2 linked regions of the Arabidopsis thaliana genome follow. The protein of the gene in region 1 interacts with the protein of each later gene in a pairwise test. Each region holds a gene or a part of one and is shown in the gene's direction. Other genes may lie near its edges.

Region 1 (8,831 bases):
ACGTCCCTCTCCTTCTTGGTAAAATTATACTAAAAAATCATAATTAACAAATTCAGTGTGATCATAGTTAATAAATAGGTGATTTTGATTCTGATAATTTATGATTCTTTAAGGTGAATGGTGGGACGCAAATCCGGTTGATGTGTTGAGAGAATCTATACGAACCGGAGGAGCTCCGAATAACTCAGACGCTTACACCATCAATGGTCAACCTGGCGATCTCTATAAATGCTCTTCTCAAGGTTTTACTCTTTTTCTTCAAATTAATTTTAATTTTATCAACTGTCCAAAAACTTGTCCCATATATTTTACCCTGTTTTCTCCCAACTGTCATAACTGACTTTGGTATCTTTTAGTCAAAATAAAACACATCAGCCCAAAAGACTCAAATAAGTATATTAACTAGACTTTTTTATAATCTTTTGGTTACAGATACGACAGTAGTACCAATAAATGTTGGTGAGACTATACTACTACGAGTAATAAACTCAGCATTAAACCAACCGTTATTCTTCACGGTGGCTAATCACAAACTCACGGTGGTCGGAGCTGACGCGTCATACCTAAAACCCTTCACCACTAACGTGATAGTTCTTGGCCCGGGACAAACCACAGATGTCCTCATAACCGGTGACCAACCACCAAATCGCTACTACATGGCCGCAAGAGCTTACCAAAGCGCCCAAAACGCACCGTTTGGAAACACAACCACAACAGCAATCCTTCAATACAAATCCGCCCCTTGTTGCGGTGTAGGCGGCGGAAGTGGAACCAAGAAGGGTAATTCCTTCAAACCGATCATGCCTATCCTCCCTGCCTACAACGACACAAACACCGTCACACGTTTCAGCCAAAGCTTCCGGTCACTTAGACGAGCTGAGGTTCCGACAGAAATCGACGAGAATCTCTTCGTAACCATCGGACTCGGTCTCAACAACTGTCCTAAGAACTTCAGATCAAGAAGATGTCAAGGTCCTAACGGCACACGTTTCACTGCATCGATGAACAACGTTTCATTTGCTCTTCCAAGTAACTACTCACTCCTTCAAGCTCACCACCATGGGATCCCCGGAGTCTTCACAACCGATTTTCCGGCGAAGCCTCCGGTGAAATTTGATTACACTGGTAACAACATAAGCCGATCTCTCTACCAACCTGATAGAGGGACTAAGCTATACAAACTCAAGTATGGATCAAGGGTTCAGATTGTTCTTCAAGACACAGGTATAGTAACTCCCGAAAACCATCCCATTCATCTACACGGCTACGATTTCTACATTATCGCCGAGGGTTTCGGTAACTTCAATCCCAAGAAAGATACCGCGAAATTCAATCTTGAAGACCCGCCTCTCAGAAATACTGTCGGTGTACCTGTTAATGGTTGGGCCGTCATCAGATTCATCGCAGACAACCCTGGTAAGCTAAACTATTAGTATAAAAATACTACTAGTTATCATTCATTACAAGTGTTACTTATTTTTATCCAAATTTCTTCGCTTTTCAGTTTAGCTATAAAATTTACATGATTCGTTAATTTATTATATATATATCGAGACTAGTCCCTAAACTAAATACGTGTAAAAATGATTGAAAACAGGGGTCTGGATAATGCATTGTCATCTAGATGCACACATATCGTGGGGACTAGCCATGGCTTTTTTGGTTGAGAATGGAAATGGAGTTTTGCAGACAATAGAACAGCCTCCTCATGATTTGCCCGTTTGTTAGGAGTTCAAGAACTTTGTAACATAAAACCACATTATAGTTTTTCATGTTCTTCTATTCAATTGTTTTTTGTTGGTTATAGACGTAAACCGGGTCATACTCCTGAGTTGGCCCGGACCCTTCAGATTAAGTTTTCTCGATTATTGATGTATTCTTTTGACATTATAGTACCAAATCAAGTGCTAAGAGCCTAAGCATACGTATCATGAAAGTTTATTTTTTTCGTTTTTCTTTATGCTTAATTGACCCATTACTTCGATTTCTTTTTTTTTGTTAAAAGGTTTCATTCACTCGATTTGTGTATGACTAAGAGCATGAATTTGATATGTTAGAATTAGAATGAATGGTTGTTGAGCTAAATTCCTACTTATTTCCATAATCAGCTTAGAACTTTTGCGATCATAATAAACAACATAATTTGTTGGCGTAATATTTGCTGAGTCAATATTGAATGTTGAAGTTATAAAGAAAGAAACTTATCCTAATTCCATTTTGTTTTAAAACGCATTGCTATGAATTGATGAGTATTATTCTTTTACGTAACATTATTGAATTTGAACTTGAGAAGATGATAACGAAATTAATTGAAAAAGAATAAGTGAATATGACATCAAGAAAAAGTGGCCTGAAATTCCAAATTAGTTGAGCAGAAAAGTTTGGGGCAAAGTGATTTCCGACGCGGATTAATCATAACATCGACATTACTAGAAGAAACAAAAGTTGTCATGACTTTGTTATATTTTTGAGTACTCAGAGGGCTAATTTTATAACAAATGTAACAAATGATAATAATAATATAATTCTTACACATGCATGTTGCCACTAATCTACCGAAATATTAGAGTAGACAAGAAATTAACGTGTAATAATTTGTAAGAACTCCGATTGTCATATTTGATTTAATCCATACAAAAAGGTGAAAATCCAAACTAAATCTTACCGTAGAAAATAAAACTTAGGTCGCGAGTGTGAGCTTAGCTATAAACACGCAAAATATATAAAAGAATAATTGATCTTTTACATGATAGATATTCATAAATTTTTAAGGCATTTGCAAACCAATTAAATACTAAAATAAATAGCAAACTAAACTCATTTGTCATCTTAAAACCTAACATATATATTTTAAAATTCACTAACCAGATAATATCTATTATACAAATTTTAATAATTGTTAATTTATATTGGCGAAAATCATGATATATAACTATTATCAGACACTTTAGAATTGGATCAACCAAGAAGAATAAAAAAGTTTTAATCACAACCAAAAAGTCTATTTGTCGTTTTCACTTTTCACCATTCATCAAACACCACCACAAAGGTTTTAAATTTTTTCTTTTATCGTCTTCACGAAAGGCCCATTAGTATATAGGTCCATTATCTAAAACCCTAAATCTCTTGTTACGCATTCCCATGCCTTGTTCAATAAAAAATTATTCTCAGGCCCATTAGAGAGTTACGACTTCAACCTAAAACCCTAAATCTCTTGTTACGCATCCCCTTGCCTTCTTAAAACAAATTTCTTCTCAGGCCAAAACTCGCCTCTGGAAGCTCCGATGACGAAGAGGAGCAAAGGAGCTAACGAAGATAAGCTGATAGAAACCAAAAGCAAAAACGTTTCTGGAAAATCTCAGAAACAGAAGAAACCAGTAGAAGCAGAAAGCTTAAAAGAGGAAGACCTTCTACAAGCATCCGGAACTGATTCTGATTACGACGGAGATGTATTCTTCTTGCTCCTCTTCTCTTTTGTAACATCTTTATTCTGCATTTGATTTATTCTGGTTTTTTTTTTTTGGGTGATTTTTAGAGTTTGCCTGGTTCTTTGAATTCCGACGATTTCGACTCCGATTTTTCCGATTCAGAGGATGATGGAACACATGAAGGAACAGAAGATGGAGATGTAGAATTTTCCGATGACGACGACGTGCTTGGTACTTTTCTTACTCTGCTTTTCGTCTAAATTAGCTCAAATCTTAAATTTTTAGTGTTTATGCTTTTGAATTGAAGAAGCTAATTATAGTGTGTTAGAAAATACTTGCGGGAGTTTATAATGGGGGAATAAAGTTTCTAGCTTTAACATGGGAAAGTAAATTCAAGTAAGAGAGATTAACTATGTTAGGATATGTTGGTGCAGAGCATGATGGGTCAATTGATAACGAGGATGATGATGGAAGTGAACATGTAGGTAGTGACAATAATGAGGAACATGGGAGTGATGAAGATTCTGAGCGAGGTGAAGCGGTTGAAGAGAGCGATTCCTCAGAAGATGAGGTTTGATGCTTTTCTCTATCTCATATTGGTCTTGAATCTATCTTTCTCCATTTCCAGATGAAGTTATAGATATTTTTGTATCTTTAATCTGTAGGTTCCATCTAGAAATACAGTTGGGAATGTTCCCTTAAAGTGGTATGAAGATGAGAAACATATTGGTTATGACCTCACTGGGAAGAAGATTACTAAGAAAGAAAAACAAGATAAACTCGACTCTTTTCTTGCAACTATAGATGACTCTAAGACTTGGTCAGTATGAAGACTTTTCTGTTTGTTGGTATGTGGTTAGTTGGTGTCATAATGCTGATGAAAGTTTTTGGGGATTTAGGCGCAAAATTTATGATGAATATAATGACGAGGACGTTGAGCTGACTAAAGAGGAGAGCAAGATCGTTCAGAGAATACTCAAAGGGGAAGCTCCACATGCGGACTTTGATCCATATGCAGTACGTATCTGTTTTATGTGTAGCCGTTTTCTACTAATGTTATGCAAATCTCTTCAATTTGTGACCTTTTGATTGATTCTCTTGGGACCAGCCTTATGTTGAGTGGTTCAAACATGATGATGCAATACATCCACTCTCAAGTGCACCAGAGCCCAAGCGAAGATTCATCCCTTCAAAATGGGAGGCCAAAAAGGTTGTTAAGATTGTTAGAGCAATACGTAAGGGGTGGATCAAGTTTGATAAGCCTGAAGAAGAGCCCAATGTATACCTTTTATGGGGTGATGATTCGACATCTGATCAAAAGAGCAAGCATTTAACTTATATTCCTCCACCCAAGCTTAAATTGCCAGGTGAAAACTTTTCGCTGACTTTCTGTTGTTTCTCTTCCTCTCTTGGGAATTCCGTTTTCAAACTTTTAATTTGTACTATTTGGCTTTCCAGGACACGATGAATCATACAATCCTTCTTTGGAATATATTCCAACAGAGGAGGAGAAAGCCTCATATGAGTTGATGTTTGAGGAAGATCGTCCAAAATTCATTCCTACAAGGTATGTAACAGTTTCGCTTATTCTACTCTAATGTAGTTTCTTTGGTATTTGTCCGCTGAGCGTTTCAGTAAATATATCTGCGCATAGGTTTACATCTTTGAGAAGCATCCCTGCGTATGAGAATGCACTGAAGGAGTCTTTTGAGCGTTGTTTGGATCTATACCTATGTCCAAGAGTTCGAAAGAAGAGAGTGAGTACTTATCATCTCAGTTTTTGGTTTCTTCTTTGTTTTTCCCGTATTTTTTCTTACATTATGTTTCTTTTCTCCAGATAAACATCGACCCTGAATCTTTGAAGCCTAAGCTACCTAGTAGGAAGGATCTTAGACCTTATCCTAACTCCTGTTATCTTGAATATAAAGGCCATACAGGGGCTGTTACTTCAATATCCACTGATAGTTCTGGCGAGTGGATAGCCTCAGGTATTTCATTATTTTTTTTTTTTTTCAATGAGGTCTCTTTTGTTTTCAAGATGCTAATCTTGTATTCTTTTTTCCTTCAAAGGTTCAACTGATGGATCTGTCCGTATGTGGGAAGTGGAGACTGGTAGATGCCTTAAGGTCTGGCAGTTTGACGAAGCTATCATGTGTGTGGCTTGGAATCCTCTTTCCAGGCTTCCAGTTTTAGCCGTTGCCATGTGAGTGAGGATCTTGTGAATATGCTTTTGAATTTATTATAATTGTCTGTTGTGAAACCTTCTCATCTCACATTGCAGGGGACGAGATTTGTTTTTTCTGAACACTGAACTTGGGACTGATGAGGAACAGGAAATTACTAAAGAGAGGCTTCACTCAGGAAACATCCCAGAACCAGACGCATCTGGTAAGTGGCTTGGAATAACTGCCATCATCTCGTATGTAATTGTGATGAAATTCCAAATGATTAAATCTTTTTGGTTGGTATGTTTTGCACGACTTCATAGTTGCAGCAATTGTAACCTGGCTACCTGATGAGTTATATGGAGGGATTAAGATAAGACATTTTAAGGTACACTTTTGCAAAAGATTCTCCTTTTAACAGTTATTACATAAGGAAAATCTTAAACTGGTTTGTTTACTTTCAGAGCATATCGTCTATTGACTGGCATCGTAAAGGAGACTATCTCTCAACAGTGATGGCATCCGGGGAAACACGGGGAGTGGTATTGCACCAACTGTCAAAACAGAAAACACAAAGGCTCCCATTTAAGATTCGTGGACTTCCAGTCTGTACACTTTTTCATCCCAGCCTTTCTTACTTCTTCGTTGCGACAAGAAAGGACGTGCGTGTTTACAATCTTTTGAAGCCAGGCGAGGCCACCAAAAAGCTTGAGACAGGATTGAGAGAAATCTCATCAATGGCGATTCATCCTGGTGGTGATAATCTGATAGTAGGAAGCAAAGAAGGGAAGATGTGTTGGTTTGACATGGATCTATCTTCGAAACCATACAAGACTCTCAAGAATCATCCTAAAGACATTACAAATGTGGCAGTTCATCGATCATATCCGTTATTTGCTTCGTGCTCGGAGGATTCAACAGCTTATGTTTTCCATGGAATGGTGTATAATGATCTGAACCAGAATCCTCTGATTGTGCCATTGGAGATTCTAAGAGGTCATTCTTCAAAAGGAGGTCAGTTTTTACAGTGTATTTGATTCTTACAAGAATACACTATCGCATATTAACTTGTAAGATCGTTTATATTAATGTGTTTTGATTATTTTTTATGACTGCAGGAGTCTTGGACTGCAAGTTTCATCCGAGACAACCATGGCTATTCACTGCAGGCGCTGACTCTATTATCAAACTCTATTGCCACTAGATTGGTCGCAAACCATATTTTGACAATTTTCATCTCTTTTCTTCTTTGTTGTATTCACCACCTTTACTCAAATATTGTATCGTACAATTTTGTTATACTGGATTTATTATTGAGATTTCTAACTTGTAGCACTTCCAAAATGGTAAAGTCCAAAATCTTATTGTATCGATTTATTTGGCAGCGTTGGTTAAGTTGTGGCAAGTCCTTAAACCCAAATGTTGATTTGATAGTTTTTTAACGTTCACTCACAAGCGCCACGTCATCACCGAAATATCTGAAATATCTAATAAAGGCTTCTTCTTTCACAAATCCCAAACCTTTTTTTTTCTCTGCTAACGAAAAAAGCCATCTTCTTTGCTACTACTAATCTACTATTACACTGAATCGTTTGGGTTCTTCTTCTTCTTCAGCTGCTACTTTGTTCGAGTGATTGCTGACATGCCGTCAGCGTCGGAGATTGTTGACAGGTTTGTTTGTCCGTTTTTTTTGTTTTTGTTTTCCCGCTTGTGTATGTGTGCTAATTGTTCATTGTTAAAGATTTTGTTTTTACAGGATTGTTGTTGTTTTTGAGTGGTATCAAGTTCCTTAAAGTAACTTCTTTTGTTTGTTTAGTAGTTGAAAGCTAGAAGGTTTTCACTTTAGGGTTTTTGGGGTTTTTCGTAGACAGAAATTTGTTAATTTTGGGCACAATTTGTCTCTTTTGGATTACGTTCTGTGCGATTTGTGGCTTCGAGTTCGTGTGGGGTTAAGAGACTTGGAAATTAGAGGATCTTTAGCTGGAATAAACGTTAAATGTGGTACCTTTCCTGAGTTTGCTCTGTTCTAATTGTGGTCGTGATGGGGTTTCTTTTTATTCGCTGTGATGCTGCAGATTGTGAAAAATTCTTGTAGCTACTTCGGTGTTGGTAGATTCTGTGATGCTTAAAAATTGTTTCTTTGAAGGTGCTTTGATCCCAAGTATAGTTGAACATGTTGCTTTAAATCTTGTTAAGAGAAAAAATGGGACTTGCTTCTGTGCCCAATAGTTCACGAGCATGTTGCTAATCTTGCTTCTATGCCCAGGAAACGGAAGTCTCGTGGAACACGAGATGTAGCTGAGATTCTAAGGAAATGGAGAGAGTACAATGAGCAGACCGAGGCAGATTCTTGCATCGATGGTGGTGGTTCAAAACCAATCCGAAAGGCTCCTCCAAAACGTTCGAGGAAGGGTTGTATGAAAGGTAAAGGTGGACCTGAAAATGGGATTTGTGACTATACAGGAGTTAGACAGAGGACATGGGGTAAATGGGTTGCTGAGATCCGTGAGCCAGGCCGAGGTGCTAAGTTATGGCTCGGTACTTTCTCTAGTTCATATGAAGCTGCATTGGCTTATGATGAGGCTTCCAAAGCTATTTACGGTCAGTCTGCCCGACTCAATCTTCCACTGCTGCCACTGTGTCAGGCTCGGTTACTGCATTTTCTGATGAATCTGAAGTTTGTGCACGTGAGGATACAAATGCAAGATCTGGTTTTGGTCAGGTCAGACTAGAGGATTGTATTGATGAATATGTTCTCCTAGATAGTTCTAGTGTATTGTTAATCGTAGTTGACTATTGTGAGGTCTTAAGTTGTAGATTGAAAATGAGATAGCTCATATGGAGCTTTATTGAAATGCAAGAAAGTAAACAAAGGAAGATCTTTAGATTGTCACCAAGAGTGGTCTGAAACTCTCATAACACTCAATCCTCCTCCTCCTCATCACCACCACTACAAAATATTATATTCTCTATCTCTCAATCTATGAGGAGATGTATTCTATCAAGCATTTGAAATGATAAGAAACTGGCGATCATCCTCTACGTCACCATCACTCCAAAATTATCCTCTTTCTAGGTTTAAGTTTTGTAATGATCGCCTTTATTTGTTGAGATCTCTAACTTCTCGCATTTCCAAAATGTTAAGTCCAATAACTGCATTGGTTAAGTTGGGGCGTTACTAGTCGGCTTAAATCCAAATATGGATTTGATTCCATATGTATGTGACAGTTTCTTAACG
Region 2 (6,062 bases), on another chromosome or scaffold:
ATTGATGATGGAAAATGTTCTTCTGTTTCAGGGTTGTATCACTTTGTATGTCTCCTATAAATGATAGCTTCATGTCTGGTTCTCTCGACCGAAGTGTTAGACTCTGGGATCTTCGTGTAAATGCCTGCCAGGTTGGTTTCTATAGTTTTACACTCTGAGAAGGCTAGATGGAATAAGTCTTAATATGCTAGAGTTTTAATGAGAAAAGTGCCTTTTTCTTTTTGTTAGCAAAAACCTCGTGATATATCACCTTGAAAGTTAAACTTGATGAAGATGCTGGAACCACGAAACATTGAGAATATTTAGGCTCTTTACCTTAATACTCTCTCTGTGAATTTATATGGTTTCATGATCTATGCTTACCCTTTTAGTCAATAGGGAATTCTACATCTACGTGGTAGACCTGCAGTTGCGTATGACCAACAAGGCCTTGTGTTTGCAATTGCAATGGAAGGAGGTGCTGTTAAATTATTTGATTCCAGGTGTTATGACAAGGTTAGCTTCTTACAATGATTCACACAGCCTTACGCATGACTGCTCTTGTTAGTTCTAACTTCTAAACCCAATTGATCTCTTATGTAGGGTCCCTTTGACACATTTCTGGTGGGTGGGGATACTGCTGAGGTTAACGATATAAAATTCAGCAACGATGGGAAATCCATGCTCCTAACGACTACAAATAACAATATCTACGTTCTTGATGCATATCGTGGAGAGAAGGTAATCACGTTCTCTATCTTTCACCTGAAGAAGACAGAACGTTAGGTTTCAAGTTGGTAAAAGACGGTATGTTATTTTGCAGAAATGTGGTTTTAGTTTGGAGCCTTCACAGGGTACACCCATAGAGGCCACCTTCACACCAGATGGCAAGTATGTTCTGTCAGGTAATACGCGTTCCTAGATGATCTTTTATCATGACTCATCTACACAATATTCAAATTTAATCAGCTTAGTTTTCTTTTTCGGATACAGGTTCAGGTGATGGAACCTTACATGCGTGGAACATCGAGAACCCATCTGAGGTAAAGTGCAGAATAATCAACACCACTAGGACACTGATTCACTTAAAAGTGATGAATAATTTATAAAGTTGTAGATACTATTTTTGCGTTATGCTTTCACAGTATTTAAATTTTAGTGGGGATTTTGTGTAAAAAGCAGGTGGCGAGGTGGGAGAACAACATAGGAGTAGTGTCGTGTCTGAAATGGGCACCACGTAGAGCCATGTTCGTTGCTGCTTCTACGGTTCTCACATTCTGGATCCCAAACGACGGTGAATCACCAGCCCCCGCCGATCCTCCTACCGATCAACAACAGTGACGACATATATGTTTCCATTATGCACTTGTGTATCGTTTTTTAATGTTGACAATTAGAAAAATTTGGAAGCAGTAGTATGTTAATCAAATTTAGAGTTTATGAATTTGAGTCTAGATGGTTACAATATGTTTTCTTTAATGACTATTTACTCTTATTTTACGTAAAAAAGATATGGATGAATACATACATCAATGTTCACGTAAACTGGAAAAGATTTCACGAACCATGATCCTAATAAAAAACCCAGAAGAACAAACAACAATGAGCATATTGGGCCTTAAAAGCCCATGGTATAATAAACCTGAGAAGAAGTCAAATAGGTCATAAGAAGCCCATTATATCGTCCTCTTGTACCCCGACTTTTAACAAATCGTTTTGGCTAAAACCCTAATTCTCTGTCTCTCTTTTTCCTCTCCGCGTCTCTCGTTCCTTCTCTGGTGGCGTTTTCACCATGCCGAAGCATTACAGACCAACGGTGAGTGTTTCTCTTTGATTGAAGCTCTATTCTCCCCAATATTCGTTGTTCAACAACTGTTGTAATCTATTTTCGTCTTTCCCTTTGCTCGAAAAACTTTGGAGCTGGTTCTTTCTTGTTTCTGAGATGAATTTGGTTATGTTTGTCATTTGTAGGGGAAAAAGAAGGAAGGAAATGCGGCTAGGTATATGACCAGGTCGCAAGCTCTTAAACATCTTCAAGTTAACTTGAATCTATTCAGGTTCACTCTCTTTCTTCTTTATCCTTCAACTTTTCACTGTTTTTCTTCGAGTTATTGTTCGGACAAGCATATGTGTGCACTAGGTTTTTTTCAGATGCTTCGTGTTTTGTCAATTTATCTTAGAATTGATATCGAGATTGTGTTATGTTCCTAGCTAGGTTTTTACTTAGAAATTCTCTGGTTATCAGTAGGTGACTAATTTGTTATTATTGTACCTGCCGATTATGTATTTCAGGAGACTATGTATTGTCAAAGGTATATTTCCCCGAGAACCAAAGAAGAAGATTAAGGGAAACCATCACACTTACTACCATGTCAAGGACATTGCTTTCCTCATGCACGAGCCTCTTCTTGAGAAGTTTAGGGAAATCAAAACATACCAAAAGAAGGTCAAAAAAGCCAAGGCCAAGAAAAACGAGGAGCTTGCACGCCTTCTGCTCACCCGCCAACCTACTTACAAGCTTGATAGATTGATCCGTGAGAGGTTTGCTTGACACACTTGAATTTATTATACAGTTGTGTTTGAACATCCATGAGTTTTAGACTGTTAACTCTCATTTCTATTTATGTTATTAATGTTTAGGTATCCAACATTTATTGATGCACTGCGAGACTTGGATGACTGTCTCACTATGGTTCATCTTTTTGCGGTGTTACCTGCATCAGACAGGGAAAATCTTGAAGTTAAGCGAGTCCACAACTGTCGAAGGTCAGAATCTTATACTTTCTCTTGGACCCTTGTGTCTTGACTTATTGACGGCTTCTTTTAGTTTCATATTTTTAATCTGACTCTGTGCTTCTTTTGTGAATCAGATTGACCCATGAATGGCAAGCTTACATTTCACGTTCTCATGCGTTACGTAAAGTGTTTGTGTCTGTCAAGGGTATTTACTATCAGGTATTGTTTTACTTTATCTTGAGAGCTTATAATGGGATTAGTAGATTACTTCCTCTTTAATGAAACTTTGGTAATATTATCTTGATAGGCTGAAATAGAAGGTCAAAAGATCACTTGGTTGACCCCTCATGCAATCCAACAAGTTTTTACAAATGATGTTGACTTTGGTGTCCTGCTTACCTTCTTGGAATTTTACGAGGTGAGAACTTCTAATATCTATTCATTCCCCCTTTTCCTTAATAATTTAATGTTTGGACTTTTGCTGACAAATTTTCATTCACCTTTTGATGCAGACTCTTCTTGCCTTTATTAACTTCAAGCTTTACCATTCTCTGAATGTTAAATACCCGCCAATCCTTGACTCTCGGTTGGAGGCTTTGGCTGCAGGTACGTTGTCCTCCTCCAAGAAGCAATTATTTTCCTCAAGAGATATCTTTCATATGGGAGTTCATATGTAACCATTAGAACGTGTCACCTATTACTCTGATTAATATATATTTGTTTATGTCTTCAATGTTGCAGATCTCTATGCACTGTCTAGATACATAGATGCCAGCTCCAGAGGCATGGCGGTGGAACCCAAAGTTGATGCTTCATTTAGCTCACAGTCAAATGACCGTGAAGAGTCTGAACTTAGACTTGCACAGCTTCAGCACCAGCTGCCTTCAAGTGAGCCTGGAGCATTGATGCATCTGGTTGCAGATAACAATAAAGAGGTTGAAGAGGATGAAGAAACAAGAGTGTGCAAGTCACTCTTCAAGGATCTGAAGTTTTTCTTGAGCCGTGAGGTATCTTTTTGATTCATTCTTTCTGAGCCACTTCTTATCACTGAATTTTGTTCTAAAATAGTAAATCATTGGCAAATTTTAACTGTTATGGACAAAACATACTCATTTGCTACTAAACTGATTCAGTAATTTACCAAATAAAATGGTAATTTTTCTATAGCCTAAATCTCTGACATGTCTATAATGTTCAAAGACTCTTACTTAAAGACAAACCATTTGTAAGTAACGGCATTTAAAAAAAAAATGATTCTTATACGTACTTAGTGGTGAGGGAACCTAGAACTACTGTGTAGTCCTAACCAAAGTTGTGTCAATGATTGTAAATTGCATTCCATGTTTTGATATTTGGAAGATCTGTGTTCTTGAGTGTCTCCTCACAGTGACCTAGAAGATCATTAAATTGTTTCATGACTGGGGCCTGTCTATTGTATAATAATTTTGTATACTTGTGTAGGTTCCAAGAGAGTCCCTGCAATTGGTGATTACTGCTTTTGGTGGGATGGTGTCTTGGGAAGGAGAAGGTGCACCTTTCAAGGAGGATGATGAGAGTATTACACATCATGTAAGCTATTTAGCTTGATTATTAATATTACGATTGTGTCTAGATAGATAGTCTCAAGAACATACATTATACTTCTGTAGATCATCGATAAGCCAAGCGCTGGCCATTTGTACCTTTCTAGGGTATATGTGCAACCACAGTGGATCTATGACTGTGTGAATGCTCGCATAATCTTGCCAACTGAAAAGTACTTGGTCGGAAGGTAACACACTCGAAGACTTTGCTTATTTCTTTTTTCACTACCATGTTTTGTTTTACTCAGCTGTTTGTATATGTATTGTGTGCTTTTCTACAAGCAGAATTCCACCGCCACACTTGTCACCATTTGTGGACAATGAAGCAGAAGGATACGTTCCTGATTATGCCGAAACCATCAAAAGACTACAGGCAGCAGCAAGAAACGAAGTGCTTCCATTGCCAGGTGTTGGGAAAGAGGATCTTGAAGATCCTCAAAATTTATTGTACGCTGGTGTTATGAGTCGTGCGGAGGAAGCCGAAGCTGCAAAGAACAAGAAGAAGGTTTGACTTTGCTGATATATAAGCAATTCAAGCCTGTCAAACTTTTGTATGCGTTGATTAAGTTGTTAACTTTGTGGGTTATTTTATGTAGATGGCGGCGCAGGAGAAGCAATACCATGAGGAACTGAAGATGGAAATAAATGGAAGTAAGGATGTTGTAGCGCCTGTGTTGGCTGAAGGTGAGGGTGAAGAATCAGTTCCGGATGCTATGCAAATAGCTCAAGAGGACGCTGATATGCCCAAAGTGTTGATGTCCCGTAAGAAGAGGAAGCTCTACGATGCCATGAAGGTATGTACCCATTTACATTTACCATTTTTTTTTTTTTTATATAGTTTCTATAGGTCTGTAAGAGCATAGCAATGAAAGGGTCTCTTAGTGTTTGTAAGTTGATGTTAATTTGGTGTATTGTGAAATGGTATCTGCAGATTTCGCAGTCAAGGAAGAGATCAGGTGTTGAAATAATCGAGCAGCGCAAGAAAAGGTTGAATGATACTCAACCATCATCATGATAACTTGTTTTTATATTTTTGTTTACATTTCTGTTTCTTCAGAAGGCTTTTTCTTAAGTTATGTATCATCATCATTAGTCTTTCGCGACATGTACTTCCAAATTTTTTAAAAAGTTTTGATTTTGATTTTTATACGTCCAACTATACTGAAGTTTTAGACTAAATTTTATGAATCTATTGCGTACGTCTTAACTTTGTTACATGAATAATGTAAGAGTAAGACAATGATTTTCTTAAAGACAACGGCGCTGTACAACATAGAATATCAAAAGTACATTTCAATTTTATAATATTTGATCTCTTTTTTTTCTTGATGCATGAGTACGCCTAAAGAAATAATCTTATCTACCTAATAATTACTAAAAAATGGTAACAATAATAGACTTGAATGGGAATTTTCTAGTTGGAGACGTTCTTACAATTTACAAACTCGGTATCGTTTACAATGTATTTTAGTCAGCAAGTTTATTTGATAACAAGTTGTATATTGTATAGTTTTCGTTGGAAATATATAATTTTAAAAATGTATATACTGTACGTATTTCTGAATTCCATACTTGTAACCGAAGAAAATTTAAGCACTTTTTTCTTACACACATATTCGAACTAGGGACCAATGGGGATAGAAACTTGATCATATTCCTGTCCTAACCAAAAGAGAAGGATGTAAAACATTAAAATAAAAAAATATGTTATTTTCTATTGAAAATTTTGCATTTATAGACGACTAAAATATAAAAAACACACCC

The links. The genes of interacting proteins can lie anywhere in the genome.
Region 2: the proteins of AT2G40360 (region 1) and AT5G14520 interact in a two-hybrid assay, tested with the Arabidopsis thaliana proteins (one study listed by BioGRID).

What each region holds. Positions count from the first base shown.
Region 1 is NC_003071.7:16,851,089-16,859,919, reverse strand, and holds AT2G40360 (Transducin/WD40 repeat-like superfamily protein), read left to right. Parts: upstream 1-3,148; 5' UTR 3,149-3,284; coding exon 3,285-3,449; intron 3,450-3,535; coding exon 3,536-3,659; intron 3,660-3,862; coding exon 3,863-3,999; intron 4,000-4,093; coding exon 4,094-4,248; intron 4,249-4,327; coding exon 4,328-4,445; intron 4,446-4,536; coding exon 4,537-4,795; intron 4,796-4,886; coding exon 4,887-4,995; intron 4,996-5,082; coding exon 5,083-5,185; intron 5,186-5,265; coding exon 5,266-5,416; intron 5,417-5,498; coding exon 5,499-5,631; intron 5,632-5,709; coding exon 5,710-5,816; intron 5,817-5,916; coding exon 5,917-5,981; intron 5,982-6,057; coding exon 6,058-6,607; intron 6,608-6,711; coding exon 6,712-6,797; 3' UTR 6,798-7,040; downstream 7,041-8,831. Other genes in the region: LAC5 (laccase 5), read left to right, coding at 1-18, 114-242, 433-1,416, 1,598-1,728; AT2G40350 (Integrase-type DNA-binding superfamily protein), read left to right, coding at 7,236-7,264, 7,860-8,325. UniProt on the Arabidopsis thaliana protein: Required for maturation of ribosomal RNAs and formation of the large ribosomal subunit. Plays an essential role in cell growth and survival through its regulation of ribosome biogenesis and mitotic progression.
Region 2 is NC_003076.8:4,680,040-4,686,101, reverse strand, and holds AT5G14520 (pescadillo-like protein), read left to right. Parts: upstream 1-1,629; 5' UTR 1,630-1,771; coding exon 1,772-1,795; intron 1,796-1,950; coding exon 1,951-2,036; intron 2,037-2,271; coding exon 2,272-2,520; intron 2,521-2,619; coding exon 2,620-2,745; intron 2,746-2,849; coding exon 2,850-2,934; intron 2,935-3,022; coding exon 3,023-3,133; intron 3,134-3,227; coding exon 3,228-3,321; intron 3,322-3,456; coding exon 3,457-3,722; intron 3,723-4,176; coding exon 4,177-4,284; intron 4,285-4,364; coding exon 4,365-4,486; intron 4,487-4,583; coding exon 4,584-4,803; intron 4,804-4,894; coding exon 4,895-5,092; intron 5,093-5,229; coding exon 5,230-5,313; 3' UTR 5,314-5,562; downstream 5,563-6,062. Other genes in the region: AT5G14530 (Transducin/WD40 repeat-like superfamily protein), read left to right, coding at 32-131, 379-495, 583-720, 803-884, 973-1,022, 1,162-1,320. UniProt on the Arabidopsis thaliana protein: Required for maturation of ribosomal RNAs and formation of the large ribosomal subunit. Plays an essential role in cell growth and survival through its regulation of ribosome biogenesis and mitotic progression.